Elephas maximus indicus: one gene and its partners. The protein of the gene in region 1 purifies or fractionates together with the protein of each later gene. This does not show direct contact. Links are inferred from orthologs where the notes say so. Each region holds a gene or a part of one and is shown on either strand. Other genes may lie near its edges. The genes, in order: AP1S2, AP1G2 and AP1B1.

Region 1 (3,746 bases):
ATTTCATCTAAATCTTTATTAATCATTATTTATAAACATCATCTCTTAAAAGTCTGCAATTTTCACATCATAAATGACCTAAGATTGCTATTTCAACGTTCTGGGGTGGCGGGGGGGGGGGAAGAAATCATACCTTTTGTAAACAATCTTCAGATCTCGCCACTCAAGAAAGCTGCACATCTTAGGTTTACGTGCTAACACGGTTTGCACAAGTTCCCTTGTGATCTTTTTCTTCTCTTTGTCTGATAATGGGACATACCATTTCTGCAGTCGAAGCTTTCCCTGACGACTAAAAAGCAACATAAACTGCATCTGTTAAGGTAAATAAAACCAAGGTTAGATGCAACACTTTGACTCAACAGAGTTAAGATTAAAATTACATGCTTTTTAGAGAAGGGGGGGGTGTTTAACTGATAATGACTAGTAGCTATCAGTATTTCTATGCCAATTAAAACAGCAGGAGATGCTTGCAGAAAGCTCTTCTTACTATATGCAGACCTCGCCACCCCACCCTATTCCACTCAAGTTTGGAAAGGAGCGCATGGAAAAGAAAACCAGTTCAGTTGGAGTGAAATTTCTGAAGAAAGATAACTCTTCTGTCATTTAAAACAGTATTTTTTACTTGTGCTTTTTTTATATGTATACCCACACTGTCTACGCATCACAGAAGAACTGGAGACATCTCCTTCAGGTACATTTGAAAGAAAGAGAAGACCTACTATTTTTCACCCTGAGGCCGGCTAGCTCCGGGCTGAATTCCTTGTAGACAAGGATATTATCACTTAAAATGCACTCTTCAGTTTATGCTAGCATATTTTAAACAAAATTTAAAAATCTAAAATATTAACCAAAAAAAGGATCCCATAAATAGATGTTTTTCTTAATGAGAGCCTGATTTTTAAAGATGTTTTGACCTCACTTTTTAAAAAATCCAACATACGTATGCACACAATAAATAATGAGTGTAAGATTATGAAAGAGAAAATAAACCTTAAAAAAGCCAGAAGTACTAAGAGTTAAACATATTTAGAGACATTACACAATACTTCATTTAAAAACCATCAAAAATAGCACCTACAGATTGAGTGACTGCTGTATTCTAGCGTATTTGATACGCTCCTCTGTGTATAGTTATTTGGAATCTGCAAACCAACAGATGTTGATTCATCTACATGTTTAATTTTTAAAGGACCAGAGGGGCCCCGGTGGCGCAGTGGTTAAGAGTCCGCTGCTAACCAAAAGGTCAGCAGTTCGAATCCATCGGCAGCGCCTTGGAAACCCTATGGGGTAGTTCTGCGCTGTCCTAGAGGGTCGCTATGAGTCAGAACCGACTCGGACCACAACGAGTTTGGCTTTCTGGTTCTTCTTGTAATTCAACTGGTCATCTCAACTGCGCACATCTAAGTATCGTTTCAACAAAGGCAATTTAAAGGTACAATTCAGAGAGATTTTTTTTCTTTTAACTATAAGTTCCTTTAACAGTGTGGCTGCAAATATAATTCAAACCTGGTTTTTAATATTCATCACACCATCTTGAATATGAACATGGAAAGGCGGAATTTACACAACCAATTTAGAATAAAATGAGCCCTACATTTCCAAAGTCGCTAATTAGTGTCGTATTTTTTTTTTGTAATAATCCAAAAAGGCATCAACGAGATATCTGGAAATTCATGACGCCGCAATTTAACTTTTTAAAGTTAAAACTGGCTTAAAGACGCAAAGCAATTTTATCTCAAAACCCTTCACTGGCACAAAATACATGAACCTTATTCAGAGACGTCAGTGTGCCTCCCAAACAAATCCTGCATATAGCGGCATTCGAAGGGGCCGCAAGGGACGCATCGACTGGACCACGCTGAATATAAACCCGTTACTAGAACTCGGAAAAGAATGGACTCTGTATTCATAGAGCTTGGTGTCCAGGAAAGGTAGGGGTCTACTAGCGATCGGAGTCTGGGCTCAAGGCTGTCTGCAGCATTCTTGTATCCGCCCTGCCACTCCACAGGACAAATAAATAATTCACTCTCCCTAAAGTACTCCTTCCCTCTTATTAAAAATCAATGCTTTGATTTTGCCGCAAATCGCAGAGCACAATTCCTCGAGGTTGGTGTTAAAAACAATGGGCTCTGCCGCGGAGCGGGCTCGGGGCCAGCGTTCCTCGGGTCTGGGCGTCGCCGACGCCCCCCCTCGGGGCCACACTCCATCCGCTGGCCGCACCGGGGCGAGGAGACAATGGCATCCGCCGCCGCGCAGGGGGCGCCAGGGGTCCTCGGCCGCCACAGTTCCCCGCTGCGTCCCCTCCCCAAAACGCCCCGCAAAACTTGAAGCGATTCCCGAACCACAAGTGCGACGGGGCTGGTGCGGCGGCCGGGACGGACTCCTGCAGCCCGGGGCGCGGACGCCGAGAGAAGTGAGTTGCGGGGCGCGGCGCCCGGGAAGCGGCCGGGCGGGCGCTGGGTGGGTTCGCCGGGGCGCGCGCGGGGCGGCGGGGGGCGCGCCCGGCCCTCCCCCACCCTCTCCTTCCCCAGCCTTCGTTCGCCCCCCGGGACTTACTGCGGCCGCGGGCCGCGGGCGCGGCGGGGCTCGGCCGGCAGCGGTGGCGGCTAAGGGGAAACCCCTGTCGCCGGGGTGAGGAGCAGCAGCCGTGTTGCTGAGGGGAGGGGACCAGTTTGGAGAAAGGCTGGGTTAGGCGGCGAGGGGAGGGCGAGCCGACAGACCCCGCCCCGGGGGCCGGCCGAGGGAGGAGCCGGGGCTGCGGCGAGCGGAGGGGCGGGCTAGGCGACGCGCGGGAAGCAGCCCGGTCACCGCCCACGACACCGGAGGCAGAGTCGGCGACGGCGCCGCCCAAGGCAGCCGATTGGCCGGGTATCCACCCAGCCGGGTGGCGCGGACCGGAAACTCGGCCACGTGACCCGGAAGCGGCTTCTGCCGGGGCTGGCGCGCCTGCGCCCTGGCGCCCCTGCCCCCGGGGTGCTCGCGGGCTGCTTCCCGGGCTTCGTCTATGGTGGGTCGACGGGGTTCCGTGGCGTGCTTTGCAGGTACCACCATGCCGATCGTGGAAGCTTCCTACCTGGAAGAGCCACGTTCGTGCCCGGATCACTTTCCATGCCCCTAAGAGGCTGGCATGAGGGAAGTGTGACGGCCAGGGATGATAGGGGAGTGGGCCTGCAATTCCTGGGAAATCAAGTCAGCTCTTTCGTGGAGCTCGTGCAAGCGGTCAGAGGTTCTTTTGCAAGTATTCCGCCTCATAACTCTTCGGAACCCGGCCCTTGCCTCCCATGGCGCGGCTACTGCCATAGTCTAGACACTTTTCGCCCCAGGCTTTGCAAGAGTCTTTCGTGCGTTTGCCTCGCCCATCCTCAGTGCTGCGTATCAGATGGGTTACTGTCCGTTCTCTGCTGAAAAACGCAGACAGCCTTTCATCTTCGAGATAGAGTCTTGTTCCCGTCACTTGGGGCCACCCCTTACCCGTCTGGGTTCAGTTTAGCTTTGCCGAAGATCTGCTCAGCTTGGCATGCCCTTTCTCCTAAACGTCCCCTCTCCTGTGAAGTCTGACCCTAAAACCCTGTAAGAACGAGTTCTTTGTCCCATGTACCCACTGGCCTCCATTTAGCACATCTTGAATTGTATTCCATTTTGCATCCCCAGCCTATTCTACCGCTTGGCATATATAAAAAAAAGTCCCAACTAGTAAATATGTAAGTTGACATTCCCGAAGCCAGCTCTTCAGACAAAGAATAGAC
Region 2 (3,746 bases), on another chromosome or scaffold:
GGACCTGAGGTTGGGTTAAAGGTTGAAAGATGGAGGAGCTCATAGGGTAAGGAGTCATGGGGCTGAGGAGAAAAATCCAACGTTGAGGAGAGCATCGTGAGGGGTCTGGTTGGCTCCCTAGAGCCTCCTTGCCCCTCCCTTTCAGCTCCACAGGTCCCTGGGGGTCCTGGAAAGGTACCAGAAGTCTGCGACACCTGGGGAGTTTGGGATAGGATTTTTTTATGGCTGTCAAACTGGATCTTCTGACATGGTACTCCCCGCACCTCACCTCCCCCCCTCCCCCCACTGGTGCTGGGATGACCAAGGCAATCCTATGCCTGCCACCTTCCTGCCCAAAACAGTGACTGAGCCTAAGTGTTTTCTGGGAGGTAGGCGCTGGCTGTGGTCTTATTTCTAAGCTCCCTTTGTTCGAGGGATACAGCTCATAAAGGTCAGCCTACCTGCAGGAAGGGGTCACTGACTCCAGATATGCTGTGTTCTGCAGAGTATCCCGATGTCACCAGAGTCTGAAGGATCTCTACCAGCTGGGGTACCACCTGGAGGGAGGGCATAGCCGTGTCTAGGCATTCTTCTTACCCTCTCAACCTCCAGCACCATCCCTCCCCACTGTCCCTCTTTTTCTGGCCCAGTGCCTGCTCTTCAGCAGCCCACCTTTCGAAAGTGCCTGAGGGCTGCAGGGCTTCCTTCGCAGAGCTCTGTGATCAGCGTGATGGTGCCCAGCAGGATGCCTGGGGTCAGGGTGGGGGAAGCAAAGGGTAGGGCAGGGGCAAAGGAAAGTCTACGGCATGTGTATAGGTGTGTGTGCTGCCCTTCTCCTATGAGCTGGTATTCCCGTCACAACCTTCACTTCTTCGGTTCACAGCAAGAGCAGAGGCAGGGGATGGGGAGCCCCGTGGCCTTACCATGGTGGCGCTCTTGAAGTAGTTGGGCACAGGGTGGGAGGAAGATGTTGGACAGCTCAGGGACCTTCCGAATCATGTGCACCGCAGTCAGAACAGCCTGCAGAGGTCAGGGAGCTCAGACAGGGCAGGGGTCCATCAAGTACTATGGCACACCTCTACCACGTGGCAAACCAGGGATGGTTTCTTGAGAGGCAAGTGCCTAGAGTCTGCTGCCTCACCTTCTTGCGCATGTAGGGGCTGGGCTGCAGGAGCAGTTTCTCAACCTCTGTGGCTAGGTCCCGGCACATCTCAGCGGAGCCCACGGTGCTCAGAGTGCACAGGGCCAGACCTTGTACTGGCTGACTCCCCTGGCTCAGGTCACTGCAGGGTTGGGAGGAGGGTCAGTGAAGCCTCTGAAAAAACCAATCCTTCCCAGTACCTATACCAGGCAGCCCCTTGGCATTTCCCAGTTCCCCACTCTCCCATCTCCCTGATTCCAAGTGCTTCCTAGAATCACCCCCAGCCCTCTCACTTCTTGATGCTGTTGGTAATGAGCAGGTGGGCATCCTGCCTCTCATCCAGTAGAAGCATGGCCCCCAGGTAGCCCATTCTCTTGTCTGAGAATCTGGGGGAGGCGATCAGTTTCAGGCACTCCATCTATAGAGAAGGGGTGAAACCAGAGGCACTAACATCCCTGTTCCATCTTCCATCTTAACACCAGATTGACTTGTGGGGCACAATAACCCATCACCCTCCTTTCAACAAGAGGGAGAGGCTTAGGAGATTCAGGCATTTGTAGGTAGTTTCAAGGAACTAGGAGTCCTTGGGATGGGAGAGAAGGTGCCCTGAACGAGACTGGCCAGAGAATGAAGGATTCAGGCCAGCTCACCGCCAATGGGGGCTAGGATGGGGAAGGTTAGCGGTGCATGCTGTGAGAGCTCAGAGACTGCAGAATGACAAACTTGAGGTCAGTGAGGGATTCCGAGACCTGCGCCCCACAAATTCAAGAAGGAGGCGTCCTTGCTCCATACCTGTCCAAAGTGGGCAGGGTAGCCCAACATGTGGACGTAGAGCAGTTTGGCCAGCTGGCGGTGCCTGTGCAGGGGGTCCCCATCCCGAAAGGAGGCGCGGATGTGGGCGCACTCCTTCTGGATCACCTCCCGCTCCTGGGCCTGCGTCTTGGCCCCACGAATCTCCTCGATTAGATCCTGAAGCTTCAGCGAAGGCACCACCATCCTGGGGGGCAGAGCTCGGGAATAGAGAGGGCTTTAACACTCCCTAGCCGAATGTGCCTGCCCTTTCTGCCCAGGCTTGCTCTGTGCCAAGAATCTGAGGGTCCGTGTCCCACTGCTACCCTACAACAGAGCACACATTTACCTTTCCCCACACGGGTCTCCAAATTCCGCCCTCATCGCCCCAGGGAACACCTCACTACACATGCGTTCGGCCCCCGTCCGCCTGCCCCTACTGAGCATGCGCTAGAGCCCCGCCCATTTCTCCCCCCCACACACCTGGTTTCCCATCCCTAGCTCAGCCTGTCCTTTTCTTTCCCGGCCCCGCGCATTTTCTTCCGTGGGATTCCTTCTCCGATTGCCATCTCAGGCAGCCTCAGTTTCCCCACCCCAGGAGCCAGCCCTTTACACCAGCCTCACCTGGCTCCCGTCTCAACTCCACTCCTCTCCCCCCCAGGACTTCCTGGTGCAGGGCCGATCGAGAGGCGGTGCTTCATCTGGCCCGTCCCCCTCCGCACCCCCATCACGCGACCTCGCCCCTCCTGGCCCGCCCTGCTTAAACTTCTGGCTTCGCTGTTTAGGGGAAGTAGGTTTTATTCGCAATGGAGAGGCTGGGGTTCCCCTAGGGGGCACCTCGTACATCATCACCACCCGGAGAGCTTCAGCTTGGGGTTGAAGCCATCGCACCCCAAAGGAGATGACAATCCCCCCCCTTTTTTGAACTTTTTTATTAATATATTTTTTTTGTTAATTTTTTTTTTTTCTGCAAGACTTGATGTTTGCGGCACTGTTGTAGTTTAACTTCAATCCCAAATTCCATGAAATAGAAATCAGAAGTAAAGGTTGAGAAGGTAGGAAGGAGGGAGGCAGGCCAAGGAATAAACAGTTTGACTAGAAAAAAAGAGGGTGTATGTGGTGGGCATTCCCAGGCAAGGCCATTCCTTGAGGGAGGGGATTGGCAGGCAGCTTGCCTCTGCCTCATGCAGGGGAGGGGTCCTACAGTCCCCTTTTCCGAGGGCTTCCTAACCCCCAGGGGGGAAAGCTAGTACCAGGGATCAGGCACAACCTCAAACAGGGCTCTCCACCCACCTCTCACCCCACGTTTGTCTCCTACCTCTGCCCTGCCTGGAAGGTGCGTGAGGGGTCAGCTTCTTTTGATCCCCTCCTTCTGTTGTCTTCCCATTTCACCATATTCCCATGTGAAGGGGGAAGGGACATCACCCATTTTGACAGTGACTAAAAGTGTTGCAGCTTACGCTGCTCTGTGAGTTCCTGTCTGGTTCCATCTCCCAGAAGTGCCTCCCCTCACCACAACTGACAGAGTTGGGGAGTGAGGCCCTTGCTCAAGTGCCTCTAACCCTTTGCAGTAGAAACACCTTCTTTAGGTCCCTTAGGAATTTAATCAAAGGCCACAAGTGAGTCCAGACCATCCAAACTTTTAGGGGGAAACAGAAGGGTGGGAGAGGTCAGTGGCGAAGTTGGGGGGGAGGGGACTTGGTTGCACTGGATTTTTTTTGTTCCTTTTACACTTGCTCTTGCCATGTCACCAGAGGGGGTTGAGGAGGGGTGGGCTTTTGAGGAAAGAAAGGGAGATGTTAGAGAGTCATTCTACTTTTCAATTCCCATATCTCCC
Region 3 (3,746 bases), on another chromosome or scaffold:
ATTTAAGAAATATATTACAGTGCAAAACCCATACCCAAGTTGTGCTTGCTCACTGGTAGCATATCAAGGCTTTTGTGCCAGATGTGGGTTTTGAATGGGAAGTGAGCAGTCAAGATGTACAAGATGATGACTACAAAAAGATTAAAGTCCAAGCCCAGAGCCAGCAGGACTGACGGACTGAGCCTGTCCTGAAGTACTTTGAGGAAGTGAAACAAGAAGGGTCCGAGAAGTCCTCTGAACATAAAGGTCTCTGTTTGCAGAAGGAAGTAACGCCCCATAAACCACAGCTGGCAGCCTTCCTTGGGCAAAAGCCCCCTGAGGATCAACAGGCCTGAAGTCAAGACACCCACCACGATAATAACATTTTGCTCTATACTAGGCGCATTGCACAAATGTCCTCACTTAACCCCCACAACCACCTGTGTCGGGGGGCCGGGTGGGGACTCAGTATTATTTTTGAGTTGAGGTAAAAGAGGCCCAGCCTAAGTAAGTTGTCCAGATCACGCTACCATTAAGCTGCCGAACTGAGGTCAGAATCCAGGGCTGACTACTGGAAAGTCGGGGTGTGCTCTTTCTCTTGTACCTTTGAGCCCCTTCAAACCACTCAGGCTTGCTCAAGTCTCACAAACTATGAGGGATCTGATTCTTTGATAACTTGTCAAGCTGCTCTTCATGACAGTTTCTAAACGGCTCAACTCAGGGCAGGGAACCAGATGCTTGGTGCTCTGCTCATGTTCCTACCAACTGTGACAAGTCACTTCATTCAAATCCTCCCTTGGAAGAATGGGATAAGATGACAATATTAAGTTTCTGTGGATTCGGTAATTAGGAGAACAGATCATGGAGGCTAAAAAAAACAAACAAAAAAGGCACTACAGTAATATTTACCTCACAGCTTTCTTCAGAAGCATGTGGAAACCTTAGCAGATTCACTAAGGCTTGTAACACCCACGAAGGGGTAAGGAGGCAGCAGGTCTTTCTCATGCTGCTGTCAGGGAAACTGAGGCAGAATGAGAGGGGGTGGATGTTGCAAAGGAATAAAGGCTCAGACTCACAGAGCCTAGTTCTCCGGCCACCAAACCACCTCACCATCTCCCAGGCAAGAAGAATGGGGCTTCCACATTTTTCAAAGAGGCACAGACCTTCCCCTTGAATACATCCTTCTAGAATCTAGGGCCAAAAGATCCTGTAGGGGTCATGTGGTTCCTCTCTTTATTCCAAAAGGAATGCAGCTCAACCACCTGCAAGAGAGGTTCCTGATATTCTGAAATTAGTTTCCCAGATAAGGTGTTTTATGTCTCACAGTGCCTAAAAGTCAGGAAAGACTGCCACTCTTGCCCTGAAAGGTGTATAGCGACAGTCTGCGGGACTGTTTCATTCTAAAGAAAAATGAATCAAAGGCAGGGGCATAAATGAAGATCAGATGAGAAGCAATAAAGCTACATCTTTACACGTTGTTACCGTTGTAACATAGATTCAAACAGATATAGTGGCAGCTGAGTATTAAGCAGCCCCTACGCCCCAGCCCTGCTCCAGCCTGCCTCTGCACTTCGCAGGCCCCTGAAAGCCTGCATAGGAATTTTGGCTCTGTCTACACTATCTGATCCGTCTACCTGGGTGATTTAACCTCTCTGTACCTCAGTTTCCTCATCCGTAAACAGGGAATAGCAACAGTAGCTATCTCACGAGTGTTGAATGGAGGTTTAAACGTGGTATTTTAGCACAGATCCTGGCACACAGTAGGGGTCGATAACCAATAATGATCATTTTAGCATTGTTATACGTGTCTTCAGTCAACTTGTCACGGAGGCGCCAAGGGACAGACCGAGCTCAGATACTCCCCGGGTGCCGGCGGCAGAGGGTCGTTTCTTTTCCAACCTTGACATGGAGAAAAAGGCCCTTAACGAAGAGGCCTCAGGCTGGCCTTGAGGGTCAGTGTGAACGGGAAAACCAAAGCCCAAAGACGAGTTTACCTTTCAGCCAGGCGTGGGCTTCTCGGGCCTGAGTCTGGGGGCGTCTCCCGGGCGGCGGGGCTGCAGGCCTGGGGCAGCTGGGATGCGGGTCGGAGGCCAAGGGGGCGCGAATGAATGAGCCTGCAGTCCCTCCGCCTCCTCCGAGCCAGGGAGGCCGCTCGCGTACCCACTGTCGCCCTGTCCTCTCAGTGACCTCTGACCCCGCCAACCCCTCAGCTCAGACCCCCGGCTCCCCGTCCCACTTCTTCTCCTGCCGCATCCGGCACTCCGCTTCCTCACCCGCAAGACCGAGCGGCTCCCGGCGCCACGGCTCGGCTCGGTTCGGATCGGCACGGCAGCAAAATGTCCGCGGCCTCCTCCTCCTCCCGCTCTCCCGGCGTGTCCGCACCGCGGGCCGCTCTCAGCCCCGCGGCTGTCACCTGCCGGGCGGAAGTGAGCTGCCCGCGCGCTCACACTTCCGGTGGACGCACGGCCTGGGGGCGGGGCCAAGAGTGCTCCCCGGGCCAGGGGTGGTGCCCGAGGGGCGGGGCAAAGGAGGGGGTGGAGCCGACCGCCGCTAGGGCCTTGCTCAGCTGCCGGCTCCCGTACAGCGCTGGAGAAGTGAGCCAGCTGACTGCGAAGTGGTGCTGGTGTGACGGAGACGGGAAAGATCCTAGAGACTTTGAGGTCTCTCTCCTTCTTCTGGTTCCAGACGGGAAAACTGAGGTCCAGAGAGGTCACTCAGCTTTTGCATTGAAGAATCAAAACTAGAACTGTAAATCTAGTCCAGCATTCTCTGCCTTTCATGGCAGTCCTTAGGGAATCCTCGTTCTAGGGGAAAGATCAGACCCTCCAAGACACTCTCATCCAAGGAGAACTTCATAAAGTCCCATTTCCCCTTTCGTTGGGTCTACCAGGACCTCACGAGGCATGGCATGTAATATAAAAATATTCTACTTGTTTCCTGTCTGCTTCAAAAAAGGATTTGAAAATTGAATGAGGTCTGTAGTCTAGTTAACAGTATTGTACCCAGTTTCCATTTCCTGGGTTTGACTTTGAGGGGTATATAAGATGTAACCATTGGGGGAAGCAAGGTGTAGGGTATAGGGGACTCTACTATTTTTGCAGTTTAAGTTTATAATCATTTCAAAATTAAAAGTTAAAAGAATGAATTTGAGGCTGACTAAAGGTGTAAAATGATGTTACGGATTGAATTGTGTCCCCCCAAAATACGTGTTATAAATCCTAACCCTTATACTTGTGGATATGGAAACCTTGGTGATGTAATGGTTAAAAGCACCGGCTAATAACCAAAAGGTTGGCAGTTCAGATCCACCAGGTGCTCCCTGGAAACCCTATGGAGAAGTTCTACTCTGTCCTATAGGGTCGCAATGAGTCAGAATCGACTCCACGGCAATGGGTTTGGTTTTGGGTATACTCGTGGATATAATCCCATTTGGGAATAGAGTTTTCTTTATTATGTTAATGAGACCATATCAGTGTAGGGTGTCTTAAGCGAATCACCTCTGAGATATTAAACAAACAGATTAGGCACAGAGAAGCATGCAGAGATGGGGGAAGATAGATGCCACACCACATGAAGATTGTCAAGGTACTGAGGAAGAGAAGCTGAAAAGAGACAAGGACCTTCCCCCAGAGCCAACAGAGAAGGCCTTCCCTTAGAGCCAGTGCCCTGAATTTGAACTTCTAGCCTCCTAAACTGTGAGAAAATAAATTTGTTTGTTAAAGCCACCCACTTATGATATGTCTGTTACAGCTCCAGGAAACATATTC

The links.
Region 2: the proteins of AP1S2 (region 1) and AP1G2 purify together in Homo sapiens (affinity purification with mass spectrometry; 3 studies listed by BioGRID and IntAct, counting the BioPlex papers as one, with this or other methods). This does not show direct contact. The link is inferred for Elephas maximus indicus from reciprocal best matches to the Homo sapiens genes AP1S2 and AP1G2.
Region 3: the proteins of AP1S2 (region 1) and AP1B1 purify together in Homo sapiens (affinity purification with mass spectrometry; 5 studies listed by BioGRID and IntAct, counting the BioPlex papers as one, with this or other methods). This does not show direct contact. The link is inferred for Elephas maximus indicus from reciprocal best matches to the Homo sapiens genes AP1S2 and AP1B1.

The regions. Positions count from the first base shown.
Region 1 is NC_064846.1:163,732,416-163,736,161, reverse strand, and holds the start of AP1S2 (AP-1 complex subunit sigma-2), read right to left. Parts: upstream 2,694-3,746; 5' UTR 2,557-2,693; intron 313-2,556; coding exon 134-312; intron 1-133. UniProt on the Homo sapiens protein: Subunit of clathrin-associated adaptor protein complex 1 that plays a role in protein sorting in the late-Golgi/trans-Golgi network (TGN) and/or endosomes.
Region 2 is NC_064828.1:34,907,336-34,911,081, forward strand, and holds the start of AP1G2 (AP-1 complex subunit gamma-like 2), read right to left. Parts: upstream 2,312-3,746; 5' UTR 2,294-2,311; coding exon 2,259-2,293; intron 2,118-2,258; coding exon 1,913-2,117; intron 1,539-1,912; coding exon 1,414-1,538; intron 1,263-1,413; coding exon 1,121-1,262; intron 1,000-1,120; coding exon 903-999; intron 729-902; coding exon 652-728; intron 537-651; coding exon 441-536; intron 5-440; coding exon 1-4.
Region 3 is NC_064840.1:27,190,727-27,194,472, reverse strand, and holds the start of AP1B1 (AP-1 complex subunit beta-1), read right to left. Parts: upstream 2,405-3,746; 5' UTR 2,253-2,404; intron 2,051-2,252; exon of another isoform or gene 1,974-2,050; intron 1-1,973. UniProt on the Homo sapiens protein: Subunit of clathrin-associated adaptor protein complex 1 that plays a role in protein sorting in the late-Golgi/trans-Golgi network (TGN) and/or endosomes.